Linked DNA regions of Rattus norvegicus. The protein of the gene in region 1 purifies or fractionates together with the protein of each later gene. This does not show direct contact. Links are inferred from orthologs where the notes say so. Each region holds a gene or a part of one and is shown in the gene's direction. Other genes may lie near its edges.

Region 1 (15,303 bases):
AAAAACAAAATATCAGCAAGGCATGATGGTGCAAGCCTTTAATCTCAGCATTGTGGAGGCAGAGGCAAGAAGAACTCGGAGTTCTAGATCAGCAAGTTATAGGTTAGCCAGGGTTACCCAGTGAGACCAAATTTAGAAATAAAAAGTTGCTGAGGCAACAACTACAACCATGCATTACTCGTGCATATATTATGATAGTGCTGGGAATGGAACCCTGTGTCTTGTACGCAGTAAGCAAACATTCTACCACTAAGATACCCCCCTTCCCTGTCTACTCTGTAAGTATAAACCACCTATGCTTGTTCCTTCATTTAATATCAAACATCTGTGGCAACCATACTACAGGGGCCTGGGACATCTGGCTTTCATGAATGATGTTACTATGTACATTCGTATACAAGTAAATGTTGGAGGGTTTTTTTTTTTAATTCTTTGGGGATACATAACTAGATTGCTATGTCACATAAGTAGCTATTCTGATTGCTTAAGGAAGCCATGAACTTTCTCCTAGCAGCTGTGCCATGTTACATTCCTACTTGAGGGCACTGGTGTAGGGCTGACCTTCATTCACATTGCATTAAGGTGTGTCTCCATATATTCCATTGTTTATTGCTGAGGGCAGTGAGCTAAACGCCAACAGATTCTGGTGTTGTAATCACTATAACCCATTACCAGCCTCCTGCTTTGTAAATTCTAAAAAAATAAGAATAAAAGCAGGGGGTTGGGGATTTAGCTCAGTGGTAGAATGCTTGCCTAGCAAGCACAAGGCCCTGAGTTCAGTCCTCAGCTCCAGGAAAAAAAAAAAAAAAAAAAAGGAATAAAAGCAGGGTTACACTGTCCTCTACCCCTCGACTGTTTAAGAGTTGTATCAGATGCAGCTCACTGCTGATTGGTTGTTATAAAGGGCTGACAGCCCTGCTGAATGGACCTAGGGGGTGAAGAGAGAAAAGGGAGTCAGGGAAGGGGAAAAAAAGGGGGTCTTTTCACTAGAAGACTTAGGAAGAGAGGTATGCAATGTGCCTGGGCCTGAAAGCAGACTGGATAGGTGGCCAGCTTAACTCAGACGAGCTAGCTGAGAGTCTTCACAGCAAAGGAAACTGAAATTTCTGAAATATTAAAAGATCTCATATCATTATTCCTGCTTGTCAGGTCACCAGGCTCACCCTTCATAATCTTATCAAGATTTATTTCCTAATTTTTCTTAAATAGTATTTCACTGATTTTGATTTATATTTCCCCTAATACTAATGATATATACTATCTTTTTGTGTACTTGTGGGGTAGCTACCCTGCTGTTGTTCAAAGACTATCCTTCCCCCAGTGAGCTCTCCTGAACCCTCATCAAACCGAGTTAATAACAAATGACCGAGTGTGTTTTTAAACTCTCAGTTCTGTTCTGTTCATCTCCATGCCCTTATTGTCCTGCTAACTGAAGGACTGTAGTAGTTGGAAAGTTGAGGCTGGGGAGATAACTTAGCAGCTGAGAATACTTACTGGGTTTCCACTTTTAGTTCTAACTCATAATTTAACACTTAAAGCACTTAAGTAATAGCCCACATTCGTGTAAACTACTGGTGCAGGAATTAATACTAAAGAATAACAGTAAGGGGGCTGGAGAGATGGCTCAGTGGTTAAGAGCACTGACTGCTCTTCCCGAGGTCCTGAGTTCAAATCCCAGCAACCACATGGTGGCTCACAGCCATCTGTAATGAGATCTGATGCCCTCTTCTGGTGTGTCTGGAGACAGCTACAGTGTACTCATATAATAAATAAATAAAATATTTTAAAAAATTTTAAAAAAAAGAATAACAGTAAGGGTTCAGGTATGCTGACTCATGTAATCCCAGAATTCAGGAGGCTTAGGAAGGACGATCATGAGGCCAGAATGAGCAGTCTATTGAGAATCAGTGTCAACAAACAGACAAACAGCAGACAGACAGGGCCTGAAGAGATGGTTGAGCAGGTAAGCACTTATTGCTTTGCTAGAAACCCAACATGGATGCAGTTGTCAGCATCCATGTGGAAGCTCACAACAGTCTGTTACTCCAGTCCCAGGGGATCTGACGCCTCCAGAGCAACAGACATGCACACAGTACACAGACATACATGCAGGCAAAACACCCACACATATAACAGTTAGTGGATAACGCAAGATGGAGACGGCTCAGGGGGGTGCGTGCTTTACAAGCAGGAAGACTGGGTTTCACCCCTCAGAACCCATGTTAAAAAGCAGGGAATATTTGAATTCCCACTGCTGGAGAGGATTGATAGGTGGATGCTGGTGTCTGAGAAATGACATACATGGTTGTCCTCTGGCATGCATACACACACACACACACACACACACACACACACACACACACACACACGTAAGCATTTGTTTGTACACAAGCAGGAACAAAAGAACTCTTTTTTTTTTCCCTATCAATTTGACAGATTAAGAATTCTCAGAGCAGGGGTTGGGGATTTAGCTCAGTGATAGAGTGCTTGCCTAGGAAGCGCAAGGCCCTGGGTTCGGTTCCCAGCTCCAAAAAAAAGAACCAAAAAAAAAAAAAAAAAAAAAAAAAAAAAAGAATTCTCAGAGCAGAGGGAAATGGAGGGAAAAAAGAAACTACTAAGACAATTTGTGCTTGAAGAATGCCATAATGCTACCTAATTCTTTGTATGCTAATACAAATGTGGAAAAGAAAATAGTACTTGGTGCTAGCATTCACCATAGTCCCTGCTACTCAGGGAGCGGAGGCTGGAGTACCCGTTGGGTCCAGAGTTTGAGAGAAGTGTGAGCAGCATGGTGAGATGAGAGGAACGTCAGGGAAGGAAGAGAACGGGAGAAAAAAGGAAAGAAAAGCTCCCTGTTATCAGGAGTTTGATAAAAATAACATGGCCCCGAGCAGATTGCTCAATCTCTTTTGAGTATCTGTGTCATCTCAGAAGCATGTGATATAACCGCTGCCTGATAATAAAGTCGCTAGCAGTGAGAAGGTGAGAAGAATCTGGATGCCCAGGATTCAGAAAACTGTCACAATTACGACAGACATGCACGTTACTTCTTTACTGAAATGATCGCCAGTCATATTTTAACCAGTGCTCCTACATTTGTGCTGCACACTCACATTTCCATCCGGGCATCCCTCCTCTTGGCTATCACAATCGCCCTAAGTAAAGATAAACCAAAGTAATTAACAAGTGGCCAGAAGCAAACTCATGTCCTATCTGCCAGTCCATCCCCCTGGCCCTCCACCTCAGTGAGAAAGCACCCCCTGCCTCCCTCCCCATCTTTCCTGTCCAATCTATCTTGGAAGCACGTTAGTCCCCTCTCCACTCTGAGCACTTTCCGTCATTCTCCCTGGACCTGTCCACTTCTTGAGATATTGCAACAATCTCCTAAATGATTAACACCCGGGTCCTTTCCCTACTACTCAAGTCAGTTCTTTCTGAAACAACCAGAGTAATGCCCAAACACCCTCCAATCTGATTAAACCTCTTCAATGGTTTCTTTTATTGTTTATAGATAAAATACAAACACCCGGGGTTCTGGGTGATCAGAACTTCTCTCCTCCCCTGCCTGGTAATGTGGACACCAGGTCAGGTTTAATTATTTGCCACTGCCCTCTCCGCCCACCCACACCCACACTATGCCAATATCCTTAAATGTTAGTCAAACATTTGTCTTAAAACAAGCAGACAGAATTTTCTTTTAAAAGCAGATTCATTTACCAGTTCACTTCCTCTAGCCAAGGCAAAGTCAACATTCTAAAGGAGGCTTTTTATTTTATTTTATTTTAAGCTCTGGAGACTGAACTAAGTACCTCTCAGATATCAGGCAAGCAGCACTCTACCCCCCACCCCCAGCTATAGTCCAGTTCCTGAAATAATCTGATAGACTTCTCACATCTCTTGTGATTTTTACTCTCTCCTCAGCAATGTAAGAGGAGAGGAAGAAGGGGTGGGGAGAGGCCGTGAAGACCACAGTATGGAGATTTTTATTCAAGTGACAGGAAAAGCACTTCTTTCTGAAACTATGTGTGCCATGTACTATTTCTTGAAACTTGAAAGCTTTCGGTCACAGGACTGCGTATTACACTCAGGGGTCTCGCAGAGCGTCACCCTCCCTGTGGCTGTAGTCCTCTCTGGCTCACTCCAAGCAGCTGACATACATTTTCTATCACATGAGACTTTCTGTTCTGGGTCACTCCCGCGTCACTTAGTTCTTGGTGTGGCTTTGTTCCACCTTCTCCTGCCATTCTCCCTCTCCCCCAAGAAGCCTGCTCTTTAGGCTCACACCCAGCTGCATGTGCTGGCCACTCGCTCAGCCAGAAACCCTAACCCTTCTCTCCTCCCACTTTTCTCCCAGGGATCTCTACAATCCTCGGTTCCTCGGCTCATCACTCAACTGATACACACTTTTCATATTTTTCTTGGCAATTCTTGGGATACAATTCTATTAGTTGTTTGCCTTAATGTCATTGAAAGCCACCTGACAAAAATAAATAAATAAAGGTTGGCGTTGGCTTACAGTTCCAGGGAATACATAGTACATCGTGGTAAGGAAATCATGGCAGCAAGAGCAGGAGGGAGCTGCTCACACTGACTCCATCATCAGGAAGCAGAGAGGCATGAATGTCCTATATTTTTTTTTTTTTTTTGGTTCTTTTTTTTCGGAGCTGGGGACCGAACCCAGGGCCTTGCGCTTCCTAGGTAAGCGCTCTACCACTGAGCTAAATCCCCAGCCCGAATGTCCTATATTTGCTCAGCTTGCTTCCCAGTTTATTCTGTCCAGGACCCGAGCCCATGAAACACTACTGTCCCCCTACAGAGTGGGCCTTCCCACCTGAATTAACCGAACCCAGATAATGCCTTAGAGGCACATCCAGGGACTTCTCTCCATTATGACTTTACATCTCATCAAAGGGAGGATCAAAGTTAACTATGACAAATCAAAAAGCAAACATGGACAAATGTCTATCTGATATTTCTCCACCTCACCAGATTGCAGCTTTATCAGATTAAAGTCTTCTTTATTCAGGTATGTTTGAGACTAAGTCTGACTTTGTTCTTCAGACTGACCTCCAAATTCTGGTTGCTCAAAAGATCCTTTGCCTCTGAAGGCAGAGAGATTGCTCATAGGTCAAGAGCCCTGCCTGCTCTTCTCACCCAGGTGCAGTTTCCAGAAGCTGGCTCAGAACCATCTCTAACTCCAGCTCTCGTGGCCTCTCTGGCTTCCTTTGGCCCCAGACAGGCACATAATATAGATGCATAAACGGAGGTAAAACATCCACACACATAAAGTAACAACACTTCTTATTCAAAAGATCCTCTACCTTAAACCTCCAGAGTATTGAGGACCATGGAACCTGGCACAGTGGTACACAACTGTAATCTCAGCATTTCCAAGGCAGAGGCAGGAAGACTGACGCCAAGTCAAAGTCTGCTGTCCCTTGGAGTGAGTTCCGGGCCTGTTATTGCTGCAGAATGAGAGCCTATCTCAAAAATGACAAAAAAAAAAAAAAAAAAAAAAAAGAATGTAGTTGTTGGAACTGTTTATTAAACAACTGTTTATGAAAATGTTCACGAATGACTTTAAGCAAATTGTTTAAACTATCCAGCACTGCCACAGATGAAGACACAAGGAACGAATGCAAATAGCAATCCGCAGAAGAGCAGACAGCAAGACTTTTTTTTTTTTTTTTTTTTTTTTTGGTTCTTTTTTTCGGAGCTGGGGACCGAACCCAGGGCCTTGCGCTTCCTAGGTAAGCGCTCTACCACTGAGCTAAATCCCCAGCCCGACTTTTTAAAAGTATATGTATGTTTTACTTACATGCATGTCTGTACACCACATGTGTACAATGACTGTGGGGTCAAAAGAGGATGTCAGATCTCCTGAAACTGGAATCATAGACTGTCATTAGGTATCTTGTGAGTTTAGGGACTGGAACTTGGGTCCTCTTGGAGGAGTAGTCAGTGTTCTTAACCACTGAACCATCTCTCTAGACCCTAAAGATGTCTTTTATGGTTGTTGTTCAATACAGGGTGTCTCTGTGTAACCCTGGCTGTCCTGGAACTCACTCTGTAGATCAGGCTGACCTCAAATTCAGACATCTGCCTGCCTCTGCCTCCTGAGTGCTGGGATTAATGGTGTGTCCCACCATCACCTGGCTCTCTTTTAAAAAAAAAAAAAAAGGTATAGTTATTTTAAAATTCTGCTTTTAAATGTGTTGCTTGAGCCAGGTGTGGTGGTGCATGTCTTTAATCCCAGCACTCAGTGGGCAGAGACAGGTGGATCTCCGGGAGTGCAAGGATAGCATGGAATACAGGGTGAGTTCTAGGACAGCAGAGGTGTTAAACATAAGAACCCTGTCCCAAAAAGAACACACACACACACACACACACACACACACACACACACACATTGTTGTGTTGAGCGAGGCAGAGTGCTTGTCTAGTGTGCACAGAGTCACAATTTTGATCTCAAGTACTACATAAATTGGAGATACAAGCCAGTAATCCAGTAGGAAGATCAGAAATTCAAGGTCTTCTTGTTTGGGCAACAAAGCACCTCATGTCCTGAACTGGAGAGATGGCTCAGGACTTGCTGCTCTCCCACAGGAGCAGAGTTCAGTTTCCAACACCACATAGATTGTTCGAAACGCCTGAAGCTCTACGGGATCCGATGTCCTCATCTAGCTCCAAAAGCACCTGCACACAGGTGGCGGGCACACGTACACAAATAAAAATCAATCTTTGATATCTGATTTCTTAAATAAATAAATAGCTCAATAGGGGCGTGGCGAGGCGCCTATAATCCCAAACACTCAGGAGGCAGGGGCTGCCCACATAACAATATAGTTTCAAACACATAGAAATTCAGGGGAGAGAAAAAAAAAAAAAAAACGTTGGTAAATACAGAGGGCCCTGGGTACCGCCAAGAAAAGGGATTGGGATCAGGATGAAATGTATTTGTTTCTAGATGGGAAAGAGCTGAACAGAGTACATTTTTGTGTTAAGTGAGAAAAGCACTACCAGCAACGGTGAGGTTAGAAACATGAACAGAGGATGCGACAAAGAGGCTCCCGGCCCCGACCCCACATCATAAGCAGCGAGAGGCGACGCAGCACCTGCCTGTCGGACAGTTTCTGAAGTACGAGGCCAAGGGAACAAGAAAGAGACTGCCGAGCTCCCCAGACTGCTGAAATAGAGAGGGGAGCTGGGGGGCAGGCCGGGGCGGGGCGGGGGGGGGAGCTGGACTTGATTTCCGGCACACTATCGGAATATACAGTCACTGACTGGCGACACCCAGTAACCCCACCCCCAAGGCGGGGTTGCGCCGGAAGAGAAACAGTCCGCCGGAAAGGGGGGGGGCACGCTCTGGAAATACCTTGCGCCCCTCTCACGTCAGTAGAGGGCGGAAGCGCAGACTACAGGATGCAGTTCCTGGTTGCGTTGCTCCTGCTGAGTGTCGCGGTGGCGAGTAAGGATACCCCCCCAAGCCCTTGTCATTCTCTCCCTTAGGTTCCCCATTCTTCACCTTGGTGGGTCGCCACGGGAGCTGTCGTCTTTCTCGCCTGACCCGACCCTCCTCTAGCAATCTCCACTGCTCTTCCATTCGGCCATCACCGCTAGGGTCTTAGAAGTCAAGCCCTTCTTTTCTCCCGGCCTTTTTTTTTTTTTTTTTTTTTTTTTTTTTTTTTTTTTTTTAACGTGGACTTACTGCTTTTTCTGTTTCAGGAGCTCTGCCATCCGCTTCTAAGCCAAACAACACATCAAGTGAAAATAATCCTCCGATTCAACCTTCCACGCCCCTGCCTCCTGGGGTTGATATTTCTCAACAGGTAAAGACTAACAGACCGACTGATCAGAGGCTGGAGTCGGATAAAGAAGGCCAGGACAAGACGGTGGCTAGGACTTCGGCATCAGTTTCCAGTGGGGTGGAATCTGCGACCAATCTCAATTTGGATGATTCCAAAAAGCACCCCGAAACAGCAGATGCCAAATTGAAGGAAACTTTGCAGCAGCTTTTGCCTGTGGACCCCAAACAGGAAAAGTCAGGTCAGAAGTTTACAAAAGATTCAGGCAGCCCCACAGGAGGTGATTCCGACAATACCACAGGAGGTGATTCTAACAAGACCACAGGAGTTGATTCTGACAAGACATCAGGAGGTGATTCTAACAAGCCCACAGGAAGTGATAATGACAAGCCCACAGGAGGTGATTCTAACAAGCCCACCTCCAAAGTCCCCTCCAATACAGAGACTCCAAAAATTGACAAAGTCCAGCTAACTGAAAAAGGACAGAAACCAACACTTATTTCCAAAACTGAATCTGGGGAAAAACTGGCAGGGGACTCTGACTTCTCTTTAAAGCCAGAGAAAGGAGATAAGTCTTCAGAGCCTACTGAAGATGTGGAAACCAAGGAGATTGAAGAGGGTGATACAGAGCCCGAAGAAGGTTCACCACTTGAAGAAGAGAATGAAAAGGTGTTGGGCCCTTCCTCCAGTGAGAACCAAGAGGGGACACTTACAGATTCTATGAAGGATGAGAAGGATGACCATTATAAGGACAATTCTGGAAACACCAGTGCAGAAAGCAGCCACTTCTTTGCTTATCTGGTGACCGCTGCTGTTCTTGTTGCTGTCCTCTATATTGCTTACCACAACAAACGAAAGGTAAGAGGGGACTGGAATGTCCAGAACCCTGAGTTCTTTGTACATGGGCAGCTATCTGTCACTCATCTGCCTGTGAGCTCAGAGGATTTTAAGATCATCTTCGGTTTTTCCTTAGACCTTGCTAGGACTCTGGGTTTTGTTTTGTAAATCATGTGACCCGTTTCCTCAGAGTTCTGCTGTAAAGTGCCAAGTTGGACGTGAATCTTGACCTGACCTAATTGTGATTCCCCTCCTGTAACTTGGAACTCAGATTATTCACAGCCTCTGTGAACCCAAGTTCTTGACAGGTAGATTTCTTCCCCTTTTCCATGCTTGAGATAGTTTACCATTTCTAGCTTTTATTCCAACTGTCTTCCATCTGGAGGCAGGAAGAATATTTTCAGTTACATAGTCTCTAACACCAGTAGTATAAAGCCCAAGAATGACTCTTCTGCTACCAAGAGTCAGAAGCAAGCCTAGAGATTGCATAAATGCACCCAACTTTGGGGTTAAAGTGCCACCCATGAAACAACCTTACAAACAACTCTAATGACAAAATTATTGTATTTCTTAATGAGCCATGAGATTTAGAAGACAGTTTCAGTAGCTTGACTTATTGAAGAATTCAGTTGGTGATAGCCATTGGGCATATGGCTCTAAAGAATGAAGAGTCTACATTCTTCGTTGTACATTTAAACGTTCATGATGAAAGCAGTAAATTAGAGAAAAGTTGAAACTGTGTGGGAGCAAAGCATGTGTTTGTAGCTAGGAAACCGTCATTATTTTTCCCCCTTAAACACCTGACCTAGAACTCTCTGGCAAGAGAACTGGCAGACCTCTAACTCCCATAATTAAATCATACAGATTTCCACAGGCTTCAGCCTCCATCTCTTGGGCCCTATTAAGCAGTATAAAGGATTTTGTTGTAACCAAGCCCCCTTTAAAATCTTGGGTGTGTGTGTGTAATTTAAATAGTCCTCTTTGTGGATCTAGGTAACTGCTTCTGATTTCAGGAAGTGAAGTCCCTCATTACAGAGTCAAATGTTAATCTGTTTTCTTTGTCCTTCCCTCAGATTATTGCTTTTGCCCTGGAAGGAAAAAGATCCAAAGTCACTCGGAGGCCAAAGGCCAGTGACTACCAACGTTTGAACCTAAAGGTAAGGAAGGAGAAACCCAATGTAGGAGGGATATGCAGCCTCCAGTGGGCCAGTTCTGGGGTTGCCGCAGCCATTGCTCCTAGCCCTTGGAGACTGCAAGTAGGACCGTCCGCACACTGCATGTGTATCTATCTACAAAGGTAGAGATAGAGAGGGCTTTCAGTCCTTTCACATTTGACAGATAAACAGATCTACCTGGAAGTGTGATTTTGTTTGTTTGTTTTCTTTCTGAGTTTCCACTCAGAGGAAATACTAGCACCTGATAGTAACTCTGTATACTTTTAAACACTTTCTTCACTATTTCAGCTCTTGACAGACAAATACTGTGATAAACACTGAACAATGTGATCAAAGCCAAATCTGATTTACTGAGTATGGGAGAGAACCTATCCATCCTCATTTTGTGGGGATCCCCACTGGCTGCCAGACCACACTTTGGGCAACAAAGCCCTGGATCACAACTCCCCCACAGCAGACGAGCACATAGGCTGCAAGCAAGCCCGCTGCAGGCTGGTCCTCCTGATGTGGCTAGTGTGCCTCAGCAGCCTTCGGGACAGCAGGCTTTCCCATCCGACAGTAAGGGAGAGGGTCTGAAGAAGGTGCTCCCCACAGGTGACTGTAGTCATCATAGGTGCCTCAGGCCCCCTGCTCTGTTCTGTTCAGCAACAGTGACAAAAGACAGTTGATGACTGAGATGGGAATGGTTCCCAGATGACCTACAGGAAACAGTTCACAGCAGTACAGAATAGCCCACCCAGCTCAGGACGTGTGTCACGCTAGGCCAACCTCACAGTCAGCTCTAGCGCTACAACTTTCCTTGATAAATGATTTTGATTTCTTTTCCCTCCTTAGTTTTGTTTTAATGGGAAGAAAGCAATACACGTGAAAAAATTTCAGAATAATATAGGAGAGTATAAAGTAGAAGCCAGTAGTTCAATCTGCCCACCATCAAATGTAGTGTACCATATGTGTGCCTGGTGCCAGTAGAAGCCGAAAGAGATAGTTGGATCCCCAGAACTGACGCTAAGGACAGTTGTGAACCACTGTGTAGGTGCTGGGAGACAAACGCTACTCCTTTTCAAGAGCAGCATGTGTTCTTAAGTGCTTACCGTCTCTCCAGCTTACTTTTTTTTTTTAAAGTCACCTAGGTTGTTCATAGGAGCATGGGCCTCATAGCAGTGGCTACCCTGCTGAAGAAAATACCTCTTACACGCCTATCAACAATTACTTAATTTTGAGACAATCTCTCACTGTAGCTTAAGACTCGTGATATAATCTTTGCTGGCCTAAAAGTCATCATCTTTCTGCCTCAGCCTGAGTACTGAAATTATAGGTATAAGCCACCATATTAGCTAAATGTATGACTCTCAGGTATATATTTTCTTTTTTTTTAAAGATTTATTTATTATATATGTATATACTGTAGCTATCTTCAGACACAGCAGAAGAGGGCATCAGATCTCATTACAGATGCTTATGAGTCACCATGTGGTTGCTGGGATTTGAACTCAGGACCTCTGGAAGAGCAGTCAGTGCTCTTAACCACTGTGCCATCTCTCCAGCCCCCATATTTTATTTCTAATTTACTTTAAAACTTACTAAAGTGACTTATGCACTTTAACTTTTATTATTTATTATTAGCTGTTTCATAATGATGGATGAGTTTGTCTGACTAACATATTTCCCTGAAAAAGCTGAGTATTAACCAGCAAATGTGTTGTTCTCATTTCAGCTTTGATTTTGATTTTGTCTGCAAGAACCTTGTCCTCCCTGCTGATTTGTTTCCGAATCAAGAGAAATGAAAAGACTGACCTGTGGGGTTTGGTGGCAAGTCTGGGCTGGCAGAGATGGGATTGCTTCAGGTTTTGCACCTGCACTTTGATGACATTGTCCTCTGGTGGTGTTTTATTTACTTTTGTGTTCCCTTTATGTGATGTGTCCATCTTCCTTCCATTCTTGGAGTACAAGCAGAGGGAGTGTGTGGAAACATGGCTGTGACCAAAGGAAGACCCCACCTTCCTTAGGCAGGCCACACTATGGACCACCCTCCCATAACCCCTTTATCTTTGCAACTCTAGGAGCAAACTACAGAGGTGCTTTCTAGACAAGATGTAGAAGATGATTCTGTGGGATGCTGATGGGCAGAGACAGGGTTGAAATCTTCTCCACAGAGGCCTCAGCTGCAGACCAGACTAGCAAGTTAAAGAGTGTCAAGGTCCAGTCCGTCTGACAGTCTGTATATCTCTCTGAAATTTGCACTCGAGTTGTGCTAGCACAAAAGGGACTCACTGCTTCTGAAAGTAAAATCACTGTGCCATGGGATTTTTTTTTTTTAAATATGGTGATGATTATTGAACTGAACCAGTGTGTTCTTGCATACAGTCACCCCAATAGGAACTTCCTGGAAAGAAGCAGGTTTATGCCTTGTGGAAGAAAACACATAGGGCTTTGGTATACAGGAAAGAGTTTCTCACAGTCAGTTTTGCTTTCATGGTCTGCAGTAGGTAAGATAGACATTTAGAAACTCCGTGCGTTCTCCACATTCCTCCACACTGTTTAAGATGCCAGGGAATGAGTAATATCTTTCCTATCCTGTCATAGCTACTCATGAAATTGTAAGAAACCAAGTAGGTTCCCTGAGATAACCAAAAATGTCTTGGATTATGCTGTGTCTAAAGTTTTATTCCAGTCTATATGGTTACACCTAAAGAGAGAAAACTCTTAACTAATCTCAGGGATATAAAAGGAAGAAAAATCTGAGTCCTGTGCAGTTGGAGAAGTTGAAGAAGACCTGGTCTTGGAGCTCTTTCTCCATGCTGACTGTAGCATGTGCCTGAAGTTTGTATGCTTGGCAGGTGGCATTCTAGAAATGAGGTCATTGTCTTCCCGACTGTGCATAAGTCTGCTGTTACTTTTTCCTAGCTGAGAAGCCGTTTTCAGTCTCCCTCAGCTTTCCGTAACTCTTCTTCAGTTCCCCACCTCTTCCATTCTCTCTTCCTCTTTAGCCCTGTTTGTACACCTCTGATGAAAACCTTTCCTTCTAGCCTACGTGCATGCCATCCCTACCCCGTTCCAGTTGGTGTTGCTTCTATTCCCTTCCCTCTCTCCCTGACATTTGCAGGTTTGCCTTGGTCTGTTTTCCTCCTGTTTCTCAAGGTTACTCAGTTAACAGATCACCAAATAAAACAGCCCATTTTCACAGCTTATAACACTTGGTAATGATAGATGCTGGGGTCTGTGCATGTTGACATTCTAGGTGTCTCTTGCAAACTGTCCTTTGCCTTATCTTATGGCGTTGGGGGAGGGTGCCCAGGTCTCTCTTGCTTTGACTGTCGCATCCATTCTTTATCCTTTCTGTGACTCTCACATTTTCTTTGGTCTCCTTCCCAAGAACCCAGTTCTGCTATATGCTAAATAACTCAGCCACATTGTCTGGTTGTCATTCAACCAGAGTTTCCCTCTTGTACCTATTAAGTTCCTCTATCCTTCGGGTTTTTTAATTATCTGAAAACTCTACACTATAAACTAATTACAGTGGTCATCACAGAAGTCCTATTTGTTTTTTCTTTTTTTAAGAAATTATATATCTAGGTATATTCTCCATTAATTTTCAGGAACCAGGTGAATTGACCTTACCAGTTTTGGAAACCTTGATTATTCCAGAACACTCCCTGGTCTGAAGCTCCTGTCTGATGCTATATTCTAGACTACAGGGTCCCTCATGTCTTCATGGTCTGGCACTCCATCTCTGCCTCTGCCCTCCTCGTCTCCTTTGTATTCCAGCTTCTCCAGGTTGCTCTGCGGTGAGCATTCCCTTTCCTTCACCTTAGCAGGTCCTTTGGTTCCGGATGTGCAGTGTTCCTTCTTAGAGTCAACACACTTGCTTGGCTTCCATTCCTCACTGTCACTGTCTCTTACTGTCACTCTCATCTTGGAACTTCAGTGTGACATAGTTCTGATGTTCTATGATCTCCCCCAAGAAAACCAAGCTCTGAGACACAGCCATTGGCATCGTTTATCAGCCAGGGACCTTAGGGGTCAAATTTCTTGTTGGAGGTGTAGCTGAACTGGGGCTCGCATAGCTCTTCCTGGCTACTGCTTGCTATGACCTTATACTTGTTGATTTTTTTGCTTTTGAAGAGCAGGAAGGAAGGTTGATTTTTAGTAACAAAGTGAGTGGACAGACACATGAAGGATTGCCAGAGGCTACAGAGCCTCGCCCTCTTGGGCTGCTGACCGATGTTTCTTGTGTGACAGAGTACAGTTGAATTTGTTTTCACTTGGAAAGTTGCATTGAAGGAGATGGCTCCCACCAAAGAAAAGTTATTTTTAGGATTTTTTTGTTTTGTGTTAGTTTTTTGAAGGTAGAATACTTACTTGAAGCATATCTCCTAGAGTGTGTGTGGATGATTATGGTCCAGCTGAGGTGTCTATACCAAGGACGGGGCTGGCATGTGAGAAGTACATGAAGCCTTAACTAGGACTCCTGTAGACTTTTCTGAGCTTGCTCTCCTGCTCAGTGTCTGGCTAAAGGCAATTTCCTAAGAGGAGCCTGCCTGAGGCACAACTGTTAACCGTTTGCTCTCTATGGATTATAGACACCAGGTCTGGACAACAGCTAAGAAACGTGCTAACGTATTTTCCCCTAGAAACAGCTCTGTGCCCTTCAGAATTCCCCATACTGATGCTCTTTCTTTTTCTTCGGGGAGTGGTGTGCTTTGCACATATCCTGAGCCATTCGAAGGCAGAGAAGGGTGTGCCAGGCCCTGTGCCCTGTGAGACAGTTTGGTATTGCCTTAAGAAAGCTGTAAAGAGTCAGCACTCAGGAGGCAGAGGCAGAAGGATCTCTGTGAGTATGAGGCCAGCTTAGTCTAGAATTCAGGTAGCCAGAGTTACATAGTGATAGCTTGTCTCAAAAACAAAGACAAAGGAAAGCTGTAAGGAGATGTTGAAATTAACTCCATCATGATGGCTCAGTTCCTTTAGTTCCCTGCTCAGATGTGACTAAGTAGTTTATCTTGAAACTGTAGTGTGGACCTCAGTTTGCACAGCAGAGCAAACTACCCATGAAGCTGGCCTCCTCCCACTCTTAGGAATTTAATTTAGACTACCATGTTAAGGAAATGAGTAAATGTTGAAATTATTTTCTTTGTCTTGTTTACCCAGTTAGATCACCACTGTTAGCCATGTTTTGTGTTTTCACCTTTTTTGTAACTTAACTGTAATGGCTTAATTTTATTTTTTTAAAGCTTACTGTGGTATAATAAGTATTTTTCAGTATATTTTATCAAGCTTCTGTAAATGGCATCACAGTGTAGTTTCATGTCATTGAACAAAAATCAATAAATTTCAGATATCAAAGCATTGAAATATTACATGTATTAATACTATATTTAAATAGACTGAAATTGGTACCTGTTTAACATAAGTGAGGGGTTTTTTTTGTTTTGTTTTGTTTTCCGGAGCTGGGAGCGAACCCAGGGCCTTGCGCTTGCTAGGCAAGC
Region 2 (15,220 bases), on another chromosome or scaffold:
AGGACATTTCCACGTGTGTGTCACCCCTGGTTATCAACCTGGAGGTGAATTTCTGGGGTCAGCACCAGGAGTCCAAGGATGAGCACATTTACAATATCTTGTCCCTCAGTGGCAACACTCTGCCCCTCCCCCATTCAGGGACAGCAGGAATATTTGTCACTTTATGGGGAAGACGGAGGCCCCAGGTGGAAATGGATTTAGTAATTACAGCTCAGACAGTGTGACAGGTTCAGCATTGAAAAGTCCTTACCGCAGAGAAAATGATTCACCTACAGGGCAACCACTGCTTGCAGTGTTCGTCTTGGAAGATCGTGGTAGGCCGCGTCTCCCCTCACCCAAGCAGAGGGTCTGCAGCTATCTGTGCTTACAGTAGCCCTGCCCTTCCTAACCGTCATGGAAGCAAGCTCCATCTATATACTAAGGACAGCGGGCGTCCCCAGACCTAGGACCTGATGCTCCCACTTCTTCATGCTGTCATTTCTAATCTACACACAATGTTACCGCTGAGGAGGGCAGAGCGGGTTAGAAGAACCTAGTTTACTTTCCCAGCATGCCAGGGTACCATGTCCACTCACGCTGTGGAAGGCTGTCTTGACCAGAGTCTCCACTAGAGGCTCCTTCCCTGAGGCGCAGCAGGGATGTCTGTCAGTGTCTGTGCCGTCCGTCCTGCCCTGGGCTGACTTGTGCTGAGTGATGATGCTTCAGCCTAGCACATCCCACAGACCCTGAGGTAGCTGAGGCTGCACCATGCCACCCTCGAGGCACTGTCCTCCTTCGGCAGACCTACAGGGTTAGGTGACTCCCTCTGGGGAGGGGATGGAAGTTACAGTTTGGGATGACTTACTTTGTTTTCAGGAACACGCGCCGGGCAGCTGAGGTCTGGATGGACGAGTTCAAACATTTCTACTACGCAGCAGTGCCTTCTGCGCGCAACGTGCCCTATGGAAAGTGAGTGTCGCTGCCCTGTCCTTCTCCTGCGGACCCTGGGAGGGGTGGGGACCCTGGGACAGGTGAGGATAGCTGCCACCCTGTCCTTGTAGGGACCCTGGCAGTGTCAACAGGGCTCTCCACTCTGTGCCAGCATGTCCTAGTGGGAGGTCAGCAGGTCATGGGCACCCGAGACTGGCCAGCACGTGCCATACCATGTAGGCCACCTTATTCTCCCAGCGTTCCAAAATGACTGTATCTTTCTTTCTTCTAGTATTCAGAGCAGACTGGAGCTCAGGAAAAAGCTGGGCTGCAAGCCCTTCAAGTGGTACCTAGACAACGTCTACCCTGAGCTGAGGTAAGTCCTGGGGCCTGGGTGCACTTGTGACCTCTGAGGAATAAAGGTGAACAAGGAGGCTGCAGAGGCCTCGTGCTTGCTGTGAGCCTGGCTGCCAGGGAGAGCACATGGTCCCCGCCCCACAGGCACCCCCTCTTTTGCAGTTACCCTTGTTCTCTGTGAGAGAAACACTGAAGGGAGAATCCCAAAGCACCCCCGACTTGGTTTGTCCCCTTCTAGTGACTAGTGAGGTGGACTAGTGAGGCAGAGGCTGTCTCCCCATGAGCACACTCCTCTCCCACAACTCCCATCAGCTGCTCCGGCCCTCTTAGTGTAGAGTAGCATTAACAGTGATGGTGTCCCAGCTCCTACCGGGGAGTGAGGGACAGACAGCCTCTGCAGAGCCCTGCCTCCACACCGCTCTTCCCTGTAAGTGGCAGGAGCTGTGTCCTGAGGGCACCAGGGACTCCACTAGAAAACCAGTGGGCTTCTGGCCGCAGATGCCACCAAGTCGTTCTTGTCCTGAAGGACCCGCCCATTTCACCATTTCCACAAAGGAGAACAGTCAAGGGTTAGTTAGAGCATGGCCCTTAATCAGGAGACCACAGCCAGTGCCTCTCAAGGGTGAGGCCAGACTCCTTCCTAAACACACAGGTCCCCATACATTCCATCCATTTGTGTACACTGGACCACGTACCCAATCCCACAGGCTGAGCCCTACCGGTCAAGGTCTTGTCTGTGAGAAATACGAAGGGCCAGATGTGACCCTGTGAGTGTCTTCCTAAGGGACAGCCAGCAGCCCGACTTGGTAGTCACTCTCCCTTATCAGAACATTAGGAAACATCTCCTGTTTGCCATGTGTTGCTTGGAGATGGTGAGACGGGTTCACTCTGTAGCCCAAGCCGGCCTCAAACTCTCACAGAAATCCCCCCTCAGCCTTCTAAATGCCGGGATTGTAGGCGTTGCCTGGCCCACTTAACCCTCTTAAAGAGTTAGGAATCCAGAAGTTGGGGCCACCATCATGTCTGGGTGATGCAAAGCTGCCGTCTTGTCTCTGTTGTCTAGGCCATGTGCAGAGGCCATGGTGAACAGGAAGCACAGGGCTGGGGAGGTGGCCTTGGCTCTTACAACGAATGCCTTTCAGGGTTCCAGACCACCAGGACATAGCTTTTGGAGCCTTACAGCAGGGAACCAACTGCCTGGACACCTTGGGACACTTTGCGGATGGAGTTGTTGGGATTTATGAGTGTCACAACGCTGGGGGAAACCAGGTAGGTGGGGAGCATGCTGGCCTGCAGACCCAGAGTCCTCAGGTAGGCGAACACCCCGGCCCCACCAGCAGCCTCGGAGCCAGCTGGATGTTACAGGTATCGAATGCCGCCTCGAGCGGCTCATCCGCTGTGGGCTGTGCTGTGCCGGTGAGGGAAATACCGAGGTGGCATTAGCACCTGTTGTTTAGGCTACGACTTCCCACCAGCTCTGTCTGTCGTCCCTGCTGAACCCACTGCCATGTACTGGACCTGCGTCTGTACCCACATTTGTCCCTAACAGGTCCTTGCTTAGCTTGTGCTCAGCTTCAGTCTTCTCAGGTCAAGGATCAGGGCCTGCTTGGTGGTTGACACAATTTTCCACTCAGCCTGGGATACCTCGCCCCACAGGCAGCTGGGGTCCAGGACCCCCTTCCTCAGTGCTAGAAATGTTGTAGGACTATGGCTGGCAGGCACCTGTGCACATGAGCTCTTAAGGTGTGCCTACTTGGATTAAGTTGGTTTTACTTAACTCTGCTGAATTTAAATTGGGGCTGCCATGTGTGACTGGCACTCCAGTGCTTGGAGGGGACCCAGAGGCAAAGGTGACACCAGCCGGTGTCCCTCCCGGGACCGAGTCCCCTCTGAATTAACAGAGTGAAGCTTTGTGGGTCAGGAGACACAAGGATGGGGACTTTAGGTGGCACGGTACGGGCAGTGTGGATGGGACGCTGTTATCTGGTTCCCAGCCTAGCCTCAGCAGCACAGAGGAAATGGAAGAATGACTGATGGCCACACCTTCTTAGGGACGGCGGCTCCTAAAAGCATTTCTTAGATGTTTGACAAATTCAGGTTGCTGAAGGACCAGCACAAGGTGGCTGGCTCTGCCGCATGCACAGCCAAATCAGATTTGGAGTTCAGTGTATTACTCATCTTAAAATAATGAGGTACACAGTCTCCACACGTCCCCTTCCCGGCCAGCATCTTCCCACACTTGTCACATGAAGACAGGCTAGCACCTCAGTGCCCAGGGGTCCCCATGACTCCTCTAACTCAAGCGTGTCTCCAGCTGTTGCCCACACATTGGGTCAGGGAGGGTCCTGGACTTCCACGTCCTAGAGCTGCAGTGTACCAGGGACACTGAGTTGCATCTCCACACCCCGGCACATCTGGAAGGAAGCACACTGGATAGAGCAGACAGACTATATATAAGCTACCCACCCTTCACTGTGGTGACAGAACCGCTTAAGAGAGAAGGACCCTTCTGACGTCCCACGGGGACAGCACGGCATGGGAGTACGAGGAGGAAGCGGCCACCTTATGTCCACAATCTACAAGGAGACAGTTGACAGAAAGCGAGGCCGTCTTCAGAAGGGCCCAGCCCTGTGACTCACAGTGTAGGCTCTTCTGTGAGTAGCTTCCTGTAAATGTGCAGCGGTAGAGAGGAGCAGTCCCGTTCCAGGGCAGGGATAGAGAGGGCAAGGAAAGACTGACCGGACAATGCTGCCTCCAACCTGTCTGCCCCATCTCGTTTGCCCCAGTCTCTATACGTCTACCCTCCAATCCTCTCTCTCCCCACTTCTCTGCCCCCCACCACGAACACACACACACACACACACACACACACACACACACACACACATACACCCCTCATGCAGTTCCTGTGCAAAGGCTTGAGACAGTTGAGCACATGGCGAGCACCCAATTAGGAGCCATACCGTGCATGGATGTGTAGACGCTTCCTGCAGTCAGGGCTTTGCGAGTACCAGCAGCAGGTTCCCACAGACTTCAGCCATGTAGACATTCGCTGAAAGCTACAATGTATCATGTATGGAGTTTTCTCAGATTCCACCTACGCTCATAAATCTGTTTCCAAAGCAGAGTGTGTGGGAGGACTTGTGGGTTAGAGTGATGCTGACCGGATCTCTAACTTGCACTTTGAGCTAAAATGCTTAACACAGTTAGCTGTCGCAGTGTGCCAGTCACTCTTGATACAGCTCATTTAGGTCACTGTATTAACAACTTTTCTTGCCTCTCTAACCAAATACTTGACAGAAATACTTGAGGGTGCGTTTATTTTGGCTCCTGGATTGAGAGATCAGCCAGCCCATCATAACTAGACTGGCCAGCCAGAGAGGCAGCAGGAGTGTGCATTTCCACAGCCTCTCAGAACAGACCTGCCAGCTGGGGCCACATGTGCAAACGCATTTCCCACCAAAACATCACAGCTACCAAGGCCAGCTCAGCAGCCACGTGTAGCTTTGTCCCTTAGCTGGGAGTATCCAGCTGGCTCCAAGTTACCTACCCCTGGCGTCCTGGGTAAAGTTCCCCACATGGCCGTAGCCTGACTTGAGGTGTGCTTCTGACTTGTGGTCTCTCCCAGGAATGGGCCTTGACTAAGGAGAAGTCGGTGAAGCACATGGACCTGTGCCTTACTGTGGTGGACCGTTCACCAGGATCACTCATCAGGTTGCAGGGCTGCCGGGAGAACGACAGCAGACAGGTGGGTCCCGGGTCCCAGGCTTTCCCGGCGCTGACAGTGACAAGGACCGGGTGCTTATCCATCTCACACCTGCAGTCCAGTGGCTGCCGTTCATCCTTTGGATGACCATGTCCCATGGTCCCTGTCTCATTTCCTCCCTCGCGCCACAGAGGGTTTTATTTGAAATTATGTGATTCCTTGGACAAAATCCTGGTGATAAACGCCTGTTTCCCCTGCAGAACTTTAGAAAAGTTCCGATCTAAATGGTTAAGGAGATGAGCCTGGGTGGACAGAGACTTACTGCAGGGTAGCCACGTCCTACTGAAAGTGGACTTTGAGCTTTGACTACATTTTCTCCATGGCTAGCAGTTATGTAGGGTGACGTTTTCCTGAGGTTCAGGGCCACAGTAATCTCCTCAGCTCCCTGTCAGTCCCTGGCCATAAAGGGGAGCAGCCTGCGGTGCCTGGCTCCATAGCAGGGTGTGCACGTGTCTTACTCTGAGCTCACAGTGAGATCGTCTTCACCTTGGTGAGAGTTAGGATCCTCTCTGCTTCTTCCATGGACCAGAGCTTATCGCAAGCCTTGGAAGCTGGTTCTGTCTGGCTTATTCCTTGGGGAATCTTGGGCAAACCACCTTTCTGAGCCCTGCGGTGACAATCACAATGCAGACATTAACAGTCCCTTCTAACCCACCATGGGGGAATGTAGCTAGTCTTCCCACAGTCCCTCCCCAGAAGACAAATGTAGAGGGAAACTGAGGCACGAGGGCCACCAGAGCTACAGCTCAGCGTCCTTCCATCCACCTGATTGCACAAAGGGAAGCAAAGGCCTAGGTTCCCCACCCACCACCACCAGCTGGTGGTACAGGGCCACAGCCAGCATCCAGTTCCTGTTTGGATCCTAGGTGTCAGAGTACCTGAGTGCTATGTCCCCACTCCCAGCCCACCCTGTGTTCGCCCTCTATACAGTCATCTCTGTCTGTGTAGTTGTATAGTTTGAGTCAGATCCTATAGAAAAAGATTGGAAATGTTGATCCAGGGAAGGCCACTGTCCCCTGGACCTACCTAGAACACAGCCAGGCCTTTGGGCCGTAAGTCAGTGGTAAAGTGAGACTTTATCTGGTCTGTTAGCCTTTTAAGAAGGAAAAGGTGATAGAGACACTGCCCCAGTGTTCTCTGTGGGGCCCTTAACTGATTCTAAGACAGGGAAGGCTGCTTGGTCCTGGGTGATGAGTACAGCCCTGAGCCTCCACCTGTGGGGATGTGGGAGCGCTGCGCCAGTAAACCCGCCACACTGCGGCGTCCCATCAGGCCGATGCCAGCGCTGAGGAGCACCTTCGAGGGACAGCTGTGACTTCATTGTTCTCTCAGCACCCACTGTCTAGTGGATGCTTCAACACATGACAGCCCCTCCCCCCAGGAGCCAGACTCTGTGTTCTCTCCACAGGCTCTGTCAGGCTCTAGGCATGCTTTCCATGACAATGAAGGGAAACCAGCAAACTGACAGCAGGGGGACAGGGAGGGAGGGAGGCAGTGCAGGTGGCAGAGCCCCTCTCAGGGTGACCGCCCCTGACTTCCACAGTTGGCATCTGATGAGCCCAAGGGCTGAGAGAGCCGTGCGAGTATTTGCACGGTCAGAGGGGGAGAGGAGGCAAGAGTGAGGAGCTCTTAAGACCACCACGTCAGAGGGATTTTCAGAAATACTCCAAGGAACCTTACTGCACGTATAAAGTATTAATTAGCGCCACAGACCTTGGTAATGAAAGAGAAGCTGTGGGGATAAAAAGGAAAGCCTGTGTGACTTTAAAAACTGAAAGTGTAAATGTTCAAGGTGTTTATGTTACAACAGGGTCAGGGCGCCTCAGACGTCCTGATGCTGTTAGGCCTTTGTGCATGGCAGTGGGTTGGTGGACTTGGTGGGTTGGTCGGTGGACTTGGTGGGTTGGTCGGTCGAGCGTGCTAGCATTGGTAGGAGCATCGTGGTGTAGCATGCTCTCCAAGAGTGGCAGGTGGGGCCTGCGGCACGGGGGGCAGTGGGGACTCAGGAGCAGAGAGAGAAAGAAGGCGGAAATGGCAGGTGTGTGCCCAAGAGAAGCCTGCAGACCCTGGGCTGCCCTTAAACTCCTCCCGCTGCTGTGCTCTGTGTTACAGAAGTGGGAGCAGATCGAAGGCAACTCCAAACTGCGACACGTGGGGAGCAACCTGTGCCTGGACAGCCGCACTGCCAAGAGCGGAGGCCTGAGTGTGGAGGTGTGCGGCCCGGCCCTGTCACAGCAGTGGAAATTCTCACTCAACCTGCAGCAATAAGAGGCCCCTGGGGCCCACCGTCCACCCGCACACACTGGCCCGGTTTGGTGATCACATAATTATGTTTCTGAAACTTTCCGCAAAACTATATACCTCAGTGTCCCACCATGGTCTGAAAGTCTTAAGTCTCGAGTCCTCAGCGAGGTGTGAGCTGGGCTGACAGCTGTATGGAAGGCAGTGAGCCCCGGGGGCTCAGGACAGAGGGTCCCTCCCAAGGCTGGCACCCTCTGCCTCCTGCTTTCTGCTTCCTGCTCACACCCCTCAGAGGACAGCCCCGGTGCTGGCCGGAGCAAGTGGATAAGCAGCAATCACGTTTATATCGAGGACAGAGGGAGCAGGGGCAAGCGCCCTCACGGCGAGAACTCGCCAATCTCCACTTCGTTTTGTTTTGTTTTTAACCTGTTCAAAATCATGTGTGTGAACCAGGCATGGTGGCCAGTGCCTGTGACTCCATCACTCAGGAGGCTGAGGCAGGCAAGACCCTGTCTAAGGAGGAAAAAAAAAAAATGATTTCCACAAAGCTGACCTTTCCCTGCAGATTTGCTTGTCTTTCCCTGTCCCTGCCCCTGGGCTCAGCTGGCCCCCCCTGGGGCCACGTCCCCTCTTCTGTTGACATACTTTGCTGTATTTGAACGTGAACTTTCTATGGCGGGACACTAAATAGAGATGCGTATACAGAGAATCACGGTCCGTTCCCTACGCTTTCCCTACATCATCATGTGAACCCCACAGCGCAGCCCGGCCACACGGAGGGGCCTGGGCTTCCAGAGTGAAGGTGCGGGTGCCACGTCTCTGCCTCTGGAGCCTCACCAGCCTGCCCACGCTGCTCTTCCAGTCGGGGGTGTCCCCAAACCGTCAGCCCTGCCCACAAGCACCAACGTTTAAGGGGTTCGCAGCTGGGTTAGAAAGTCCACTTTGTGCCCATTGTCAACCATAAACCTAGATAGGTCACCTCTTTTGGCAAGTATTGCTTTGGGTTTTCTTTTGACGTTAGATTTCTTTTCTTTAGGGAAACTCAACCCCACAGCTTCTAACTAATGTGAGCCAGCAGGACCCTACTGCCCCGTGACAGACCAGGGGCCCTCGGGACAGCTGTCACATGCTATCCCTAGGCTCAGTGGTTTGAGACCCTGTATGTTGGGTCTTTGGTACTAACCAAGCATCCGGCAGAGCACAGAAGAGCAGCCCTTCAGCCTGTGTGGGTGGACCCCATGTGTCTGTAGCCCTGGTGTGGGCAACACCCCCCCCCCGGTATGTCCACAGGCTATGGCAGGAATTGTGGGTAGAGTTCGGACCACAAGGTCTGCTCACTCACACGAAGGACCTAGGCATGTGTCAGCCACAGAGGGTGCAGGGGAAGTGACACCCTGTGGGGCCACAAAGCATCACCCATGCTCACCTCAGGTGTCCCAGAGATCTCGGGGACCAGAGCTTCAGGTGGTCAGAGGGCCTGCAGGTGAGTGCTCTGTCTCCCACCTGACCCAAAGGGGGGTGGGCGAGGCTGGTTTCTTCTATTTGTGGAGCTCCATGTGTGTGCACACCATGACCACGGACCCTCTGGGAAGACCTGGCCAGGTGCTGACCCTCTGTCTTTTCACCCCTGCCAAGCAACAACAAGAGATACGTTGTAACAGACAGGGTGCCCACGTGTCTAATTAAGTCCATACATGTCCACCTTCCTGGGTAGACTCTGAGGACTGTCACTCACAGGGATGGGGGCAGAGCTGCCCGGGGCGAGGCAGGAGAGTGCTGGAGTCCAGTCCAAGCACGATGTCCGCTGCTAACCCTGACACCTCTGCACTGCTTCTGTCAGTGACACCACAGATGTGAGACAACATGGGCTGTCCCAACCACACGTGTACCCCGCCCCACCCTGTGGCCTCGTCACCTTTGTACCATCTGATTGTCTGGCCACCAGGGTGCCAACTCAACCCAGCTCCGAGCAGAGGGGGTCTGGGCAAGGCCCTCGGGTGAGCCATGTTTACATGACAGTGTGCCAAAGCGACTCGCTGAGCTTGTATCGTTTTGTAGTCAATCTGGGCTCTCCCACACTCCCACTCCTGTTTTTAAAAAACTTAAAAACTCCCAGGAGCCCTGGGCACGCACAGGCAAAATGGTGGCTGTCCTCTCTGGTGGTCCTCGAGTCTCCGTGAAGCTGAAAATGACGGTGTCTGTGAGTATGTTTTGCAAATTCAAAATATAGTTTGGTAATTTTTTTTTCCAGTTGATTTTTAAAAAAAAAAAAAAAAGAACTGCTGTACAGAGCTTGTGCTTTGTCCATTTTATAGATGGAAACCATCCTTGAAATTGTTTAACTTAAATAAAGAGAAGATACTTTATAGATAATGCCCAACTGTGTCTCTCTCTCCGTCGCTCTACGAGGTGTGGGACCAGGCAGAGGGCTGGAGTCGAGGTCTCACTTCTGTCCGCCCTGACGTTTCTCATCGCTCCCTTAAAACACATCCCTGATGCTATGCCCCCCGGGTCTGATGCATTAGTGACAACCATTTGCAGTGTGGGGCGGTTGGGCTGTGCCAGATACCTGGCCAGCCCCTGCCATGCACTGGCTTAACTTGCCCTGGACCTGGGCCCTGAACACGTGGCCCACACGCTCTAGGTACCAAATCTCTTACACGTAAGTATTTAAAATGCATGGTCCTACTCAGCAGCCGTCCGGGGCTCTGCCACTCATCCTGGCCTTGTACTCGTCTTTGACCACACCTTCATGAGACTGGCTATATATCCAGGGAGATAAAGACCGGCTGGTTGTCTTGCTGTTTGGACCATGATAAGACAGTGAAGGGACTGGCCAGGAGATGCCCGAACCTTCTCAAACCACACTGCATTGGTTTCATTATGTGAGACACCAAAAATGTGGCTCTGTGGCTGTCTGAGAGACAATGGCAGTAACTTGTAACTCAGCGATGTCCTGAGGCCTTGGAGTATCTGAAGAGACTCTAAACTACATTTCTAAAAGGCATTCTATCCCTAGGTCTAGCCTGGGAGCTGGGAGGAGGGTTGCGGCCCTCCTGGGATAGGTATTCAGGTGGCCCCTCTGGGAATTAGAGCCAGCTGCTGAGTTGAGCTTTGAGAAGGGGTAGCCATGGGTGGTTTCTCTTCTGGTATTTCAGTGAGGCCCAGAAAGGCATGGGCCTCGAAGATCATTGGCTTGCCCCAGAAGGCCCCTTGTTACCCTTGAGTGGGAGAGTTCTCCTGGAACCAGGACACCTACAAGTAGTTCAAATACACATGCCCACTAGCTCAGAACAAGAAACCCAGGAGACCGGATTTCAGCTCAGTGCTGAACTGCCTGCCTGCTCCCAGGTTCCACCCCGCATAGGACAGACACCTCTCTCTGATCATGAGCCGTGCTGCTCCTAGGTGGGGCCCCTTGCCTCGAGGCGGGATGTGGGCCTCAGGAGTTTGGGAAGCAGATGGGTAACTAACCTCGTGTGTAATTGTCAGGGGCTAGAAAAGGAACTGTTTGCTGAGCCACACAGCCTCCCCGACTACCGTGTTGGAAGGGTTTGCACCGCTGTAGAATGGATGGAACAGCAATAATGGTTGCGAGAGGGTGACTGCTGGCCTACTAAGCCCCTCCCTCCCCCTGCCTTTGGCCTCTCTGGTACCTGCTGGCAGCTCAGAGGTCTCAGGAGAGTCTCAAAAAACACATTGTAGCGGACCACAAAGAAGCCAGTCATGCCAAAGACACAGTGACCTGCTTATTCTCAGCACACTAGGTAACATGTTATCTCATTGCTTCGGAGATTCCAAAGCCCCAGTGAACGCGGAGTGAATGGAAATCTGTAATAATGGATGGAATAGAAAGTAACCGATATTTAAAAAGAAGAACAGAGACAATACCTGCTGTCTGCAAGCTCCAGTCATGGATAGAACACTCCGTGGTTCTCAGAAGCTATGCTGGTGTGGGTGGGCGAGCGCTCCTAGTCTGAGCCTCAGAGCTCCCTCGTGAGCGCCCCCATGTGGCTGGCAGCACACTTGCGTCTCAGCACTCCCTGTTGGAGAATGTGACTTCCTGTCTCTGCCTTTCAGAGAGGGGCTTAATTTTAAATATTCTCTTGCCTGAGTACGAGAACACTAGATGGATCACACAGAAACTAGCCTGAGATCTGGTGACAGATCAGGGGGAATAACCATCCCCCATAAGATGGCACCATTTAGTCATCCAGTGGCTCTGGTAGAACAGAAAGGTGACCTCTCAGGAGCTGGACCTCTACCCCATCGCGTGCACTGACACAAGAGTCCTAGGCCCTCTGGCCCTTGGCTCCAGAATTTTCCCAGCATCCCCTGGTTTCCAGGGCTGTGAACACAGGCTGAGCGGCATCCCAGGGCTCTAGCCTGCAAGTAGCCTGGGTCTTCTCCATCTCCATGACCAGAGAAGCTGCCTGTATGTAACTGGCGGTCAGTCTGTCTAGGAATCCCTGACACCAGTGAGTCAGCATCGCCTGCACGTGCTGTAGCCAAGGAGAGAGCTAAAGGCTCCTCTGCCAGTCTCCTAACACGCGCAGATAAAGCCTAGGGCACAGGCTGAGGGGCCTGGGGTACAGCCAGTCGTCTTCTCTCCACCTCGGAACTGTATAGAAAGTGAGGTGGGTGAGAGAGAGAACACACCCCAGAATAAGGAAAAGAAAGAGGCCATATGAGAGCTACCCTTGGCCATGTTGCATATGTATGTGGTTTTGAGATAGCGGGGTAGACCTACACTGGGCCTAACTCCAGCCATGGACAAGGCAGGTACCCACTGCCTCCCTGCATCCCATCCAGGTTCAGTTTGAGGATAAAGGGGGGAGAGAGGCTGCTCTTCATACTGAGTTATCACGTGTCACCAGGGTGCCACACGGGAACAAAGGAAAGCTTGAGTGGGAGAACAGAAAAGGTCACGGAGTTCCCTCGGTGACATGAGCTAGGATTGGCCAGCCCTGGGGTATATTTTACCTCTAATTTTCACAGCTCACAAAGTTTTTCCCATTTTGGCACTGGGCAAGCTCTAGCAATGAGCCTGGTTGATTTGCCTAGGCCAAGTGAGGCACCAGCTCTGACACTGAGCCTATCCTGGGGCAGGGGAGGCTCAGTGCAGTGCTCTGTGTGACAAGAGGTGGTGGGAAGATGGCGGTCCTCCAGGAGAGACCAGGGTAAGCAGTCCCTTTGTAGCAGCTAACACATGGCAGCTCTCAAGGGCTGGAGAGTATTAGAGAAGGCTTGGGATTCTGAGGAGAAAGTGAGGACCTAAAGAAGCCTCAGTCAGTTTGGGCTTGCACACTAGACCCGCCCCTTGCACACTAGACCCGCCCCTTGCACACTAGACCCACCCCTTGCACACTATACTATCCCTTGGGCCAGTCCACAATGGGAACCCTGTGCTCACTTGCAAGAAGGGCATCCTGGGAAAGGTGGGTGAGGAGGGCACTGTGACCCTATGTTACACCTAATAGTCCTCCAGGGAGTGAAGACAGGACTGTGACCCTATGAACTTCCACTGGAGACATTGAATCGCTACTGAATATGCTCTTTTTTTTTTTTTTTTTTTTTTTTTTTTTTGGTTCTTCTTTTCGGAGCTGGGGACCGAACCCAGGGCCTTGCGCTTCCTAGGTAAGCGCTCTACTACTGAGCTAAATCCCCAGCCCCCTGAATATGCTCTTAAGCAAATTGGACAACCTTGTAGCTTTTGCCCAATGAGCAAAGACATCAGAGGTGTAAGGACAGGCAGAAATGTTGCTAAGTGCACAATCAAGTTCGCTGCACAATCAGAGGACCACACAACCTAGCAGTCAGCCCAGGAGGTAAAGACAGGCCAGGCTTCCTTGTAGCCCTAGGTGGCAGGGAGCCCCAGAAAGCCAGCTCATAAGAACCAGACCCATGGGCTGGGGATTTAGCTCAGTGGTAGAGTGCTTACCTAGGAAGTGCAAGGCCCTGGGTTCGGTCCCCAGCTCCGAAAAAAAAAAAAGAACCAAAAAAAAAAAAAAAAGAACCAGACCCATGACAAGTCTGCCGAGATGCCAGACCCCTGTAAGGTATAGGTCAGGATGAGGTAGGGCTGCAGGGAGCAGGAAAGTGCCAAAGAACTTTCCAGAATCTTGTGGCTCTGGAGTTCCCTGAGGAGCGATGTGGGCAGCACCTTGACTCCTATTCTCCTCCCTATGGGTTTGGAATCCATCAGTCTTTAGCATCTAAGGGCACACCCTGACACTTCTTAGGATGGCAGTTTTGCAGATGGGTGCCTTCTGTAAACATCCTCACACCCCCAGCTAGATAACTCTGTTCCCTAAAAGCTGTAGTTTTGCTAAGGTCAGAAGTTCCAGAGGCGGTGTGAGCACACACCCATTCAGACCGTTTGTAAGATTTCACCCTGAGTTCTCAGTGGGAGTTGGAAGCAGCTGAGATTGTCAGTGTGGTTCAGCCTGTGAAGCCGAGGTTGTAGCTATTCTCATCTGCCTCTCTGTGACCTCCAGTGCCCTGGTGGGAGTAGAGGTGGGGCTGCCCAGGAGTCGGGAGTCTGAGCGCCTTACCTGCTTGGCTGAATCCCTGTAAGCCAGCCATGGATGCTGAGCCTTTCCCTCACGGCAGGAAGAACTATAAGACTAGATAGATTTTTCTCAAGAGAGCCAAATTGTCCGGCTTGGGATGTGATGGGTTCTGGGGAAAGGGTGGGCTCTGGGTGAATAGTCCTGGACTCCAGTCCCAACCCACTTCTGCTCATTGCTAAGCCATTAGCCTGCGTCATTGCCAATCTCAACTGTGAACTGGAGGACTGAGACTCAGGCTGCGTACAGCCCAGGTCCGGGTGAGGCCCTTGGCCTCATTCAGTGTCCCTGTGACCGTGGCTCAGCTTGTCCAATGACAAGGTTACCCCTGCTACTCTTCTCCACGGTGGGCTCCTATCAGACCTGGGGGGAGGGGCAGTCTACTACCTCTCCCCCCTCCAGGCCCCAATTGTCCTTCATGCACACTGTGAGCTTATCCGATACTGGAGAATACGGTGCAGCATCATGGACCCCTCAAGTGTCTCGGTGCCTCACAAACCTAGACACGGTGGCCAGGGGAAGGACTGTGGAATGCTGCAGCCCTTTCTCATCCATGCCCTGTCACCCTCTTAGTCCTAGTGGCTGTGTTGTCACTGGTCTCACGTGGGGCTGTGACTTCCATAATTCCAGCTGCCCAAACTCCCCAGTACACAACACTGTTTTGTCTGTTCTGTGATAATTTGAGGTTCTGCTTCCCCCTGCTGGGCAGACTGGGAACAGCTTCAACCAGAGGTGGGGACATGTCCCAGGAAAGAAAGGCAGAAAAGCAGGTTTGGGAGATCTTTGGATCCAGGTAAGATCAGGCTGTCAGACTGGTGGCTGTCTGGTTTCTCTGACACTTTTGAGGTTAGACAGCAGCACCTAAACCCATCCCCCTCCCGGCCCCAGTTCAGTCCACCCAGGCCAGGACGGCAGTCTTGGATTCTTAGATACCCTATACGCTAATGCCCTTAGAGGTTGCAGCCTTGATTTGCCCTCCATGTCTCCTTTGCAAGCTCCTCAGACATTCTGCTTGGCTGCATGGGATCATGGAGGAACCCTCCCTCCTCCACCTCATACCAGCTTCCTTGGGCCTGCTCAGAATCAGACCTGACTGCGGTGGCCACACAGCCCTATTAGCATCTGGTACAGACACCAAGGTTACTGTAGGCTTCTTGGCTGGGGGAGGGGTGAGCATGTAACACCCACTCACCTTTCAGAGAGCGAACAGGCACAGTCTCTTCACTCTCTTGCCCTGCAGAACTGTCTCTCAAACACTTTGGGCTCAGGAGATCCCAGCGGGTCATCTCAGAGGTGTTGGCCCCAGACTTGCCAGCATCACAAAAGGTTTGCTCCAGGAACGAAGGCACTCAGCTTGTGAAGTAGCATCTCCCTCCTG

The links.
Region 2: the proteins of Tgoln2 (region 1) and Galnt2 purify together in Homo sapiens (affinity purification with mass spectrometry; 3 studies listed by BioGRID and IntAct, counting the BioPlex papers as one, with this or other methods). This does not show direct contact. The link is inferred for Rattus norvegicus from reciprocal best matches to the Homo sapiens genes TGOLN2 and GALNT2.

The regions. Positions count from the first base shown.
Region 1 is NC_086022.1:106,221,369-106,236,671, reverse strand, and holds Tgoln2 (trans-Golgi network integral membrane protein TGN38 precursor), read left to right. Parts: upstream 1-7,409; 5' UTR 7,410-7,422; coding exon 7,423-7,468; intron 7,469-7,725; coding exon 7,726-8,663; intron 8,664-9,715; coding exon 9,716-9,799; coding exon of another isoform or gene 9,800-9,943; exon of another isoform or gene 9,944-11,508; coding exon of another isoform or gene 11,509-11,531; coding exon 11,532-11,537; coding exon of another isoform or gene 11,538-11,601; 3' UTR 11,602-15,163; downstream 15,164-15,303. UniProt on the Homo sapiens protein: May be involved in regulating membrane traffic to and from trans-Golgi network.
Region 2 is NC_086037.1:69,212,592-69,227,811, forward strand, and holds the end of Galnt2 (polypeptide N-acetylgalactosaminyltransferase 2 precursor), read left to right. Parts: intron 1-855; coding exon 856-948; intron 949-1,201; coding exon 1,202-1,285; intron 1,286-2,408; coding exon 2,409-2,535; intron 2,536-4,894; coding exon 4,895-5,014; intron 5,015-7,144; coding exon 7,145-7,300; 3' UTR 7,301-9,646; downstream 9,647-15,220. UniProt on the Homo sapiens protein: Catalyzes the initial reaction in O-linked oligosaccharide biosynthesis, the transfer of an N-acetyl-D-galactosamine residue to a serine or threonine residue on the protein receptor.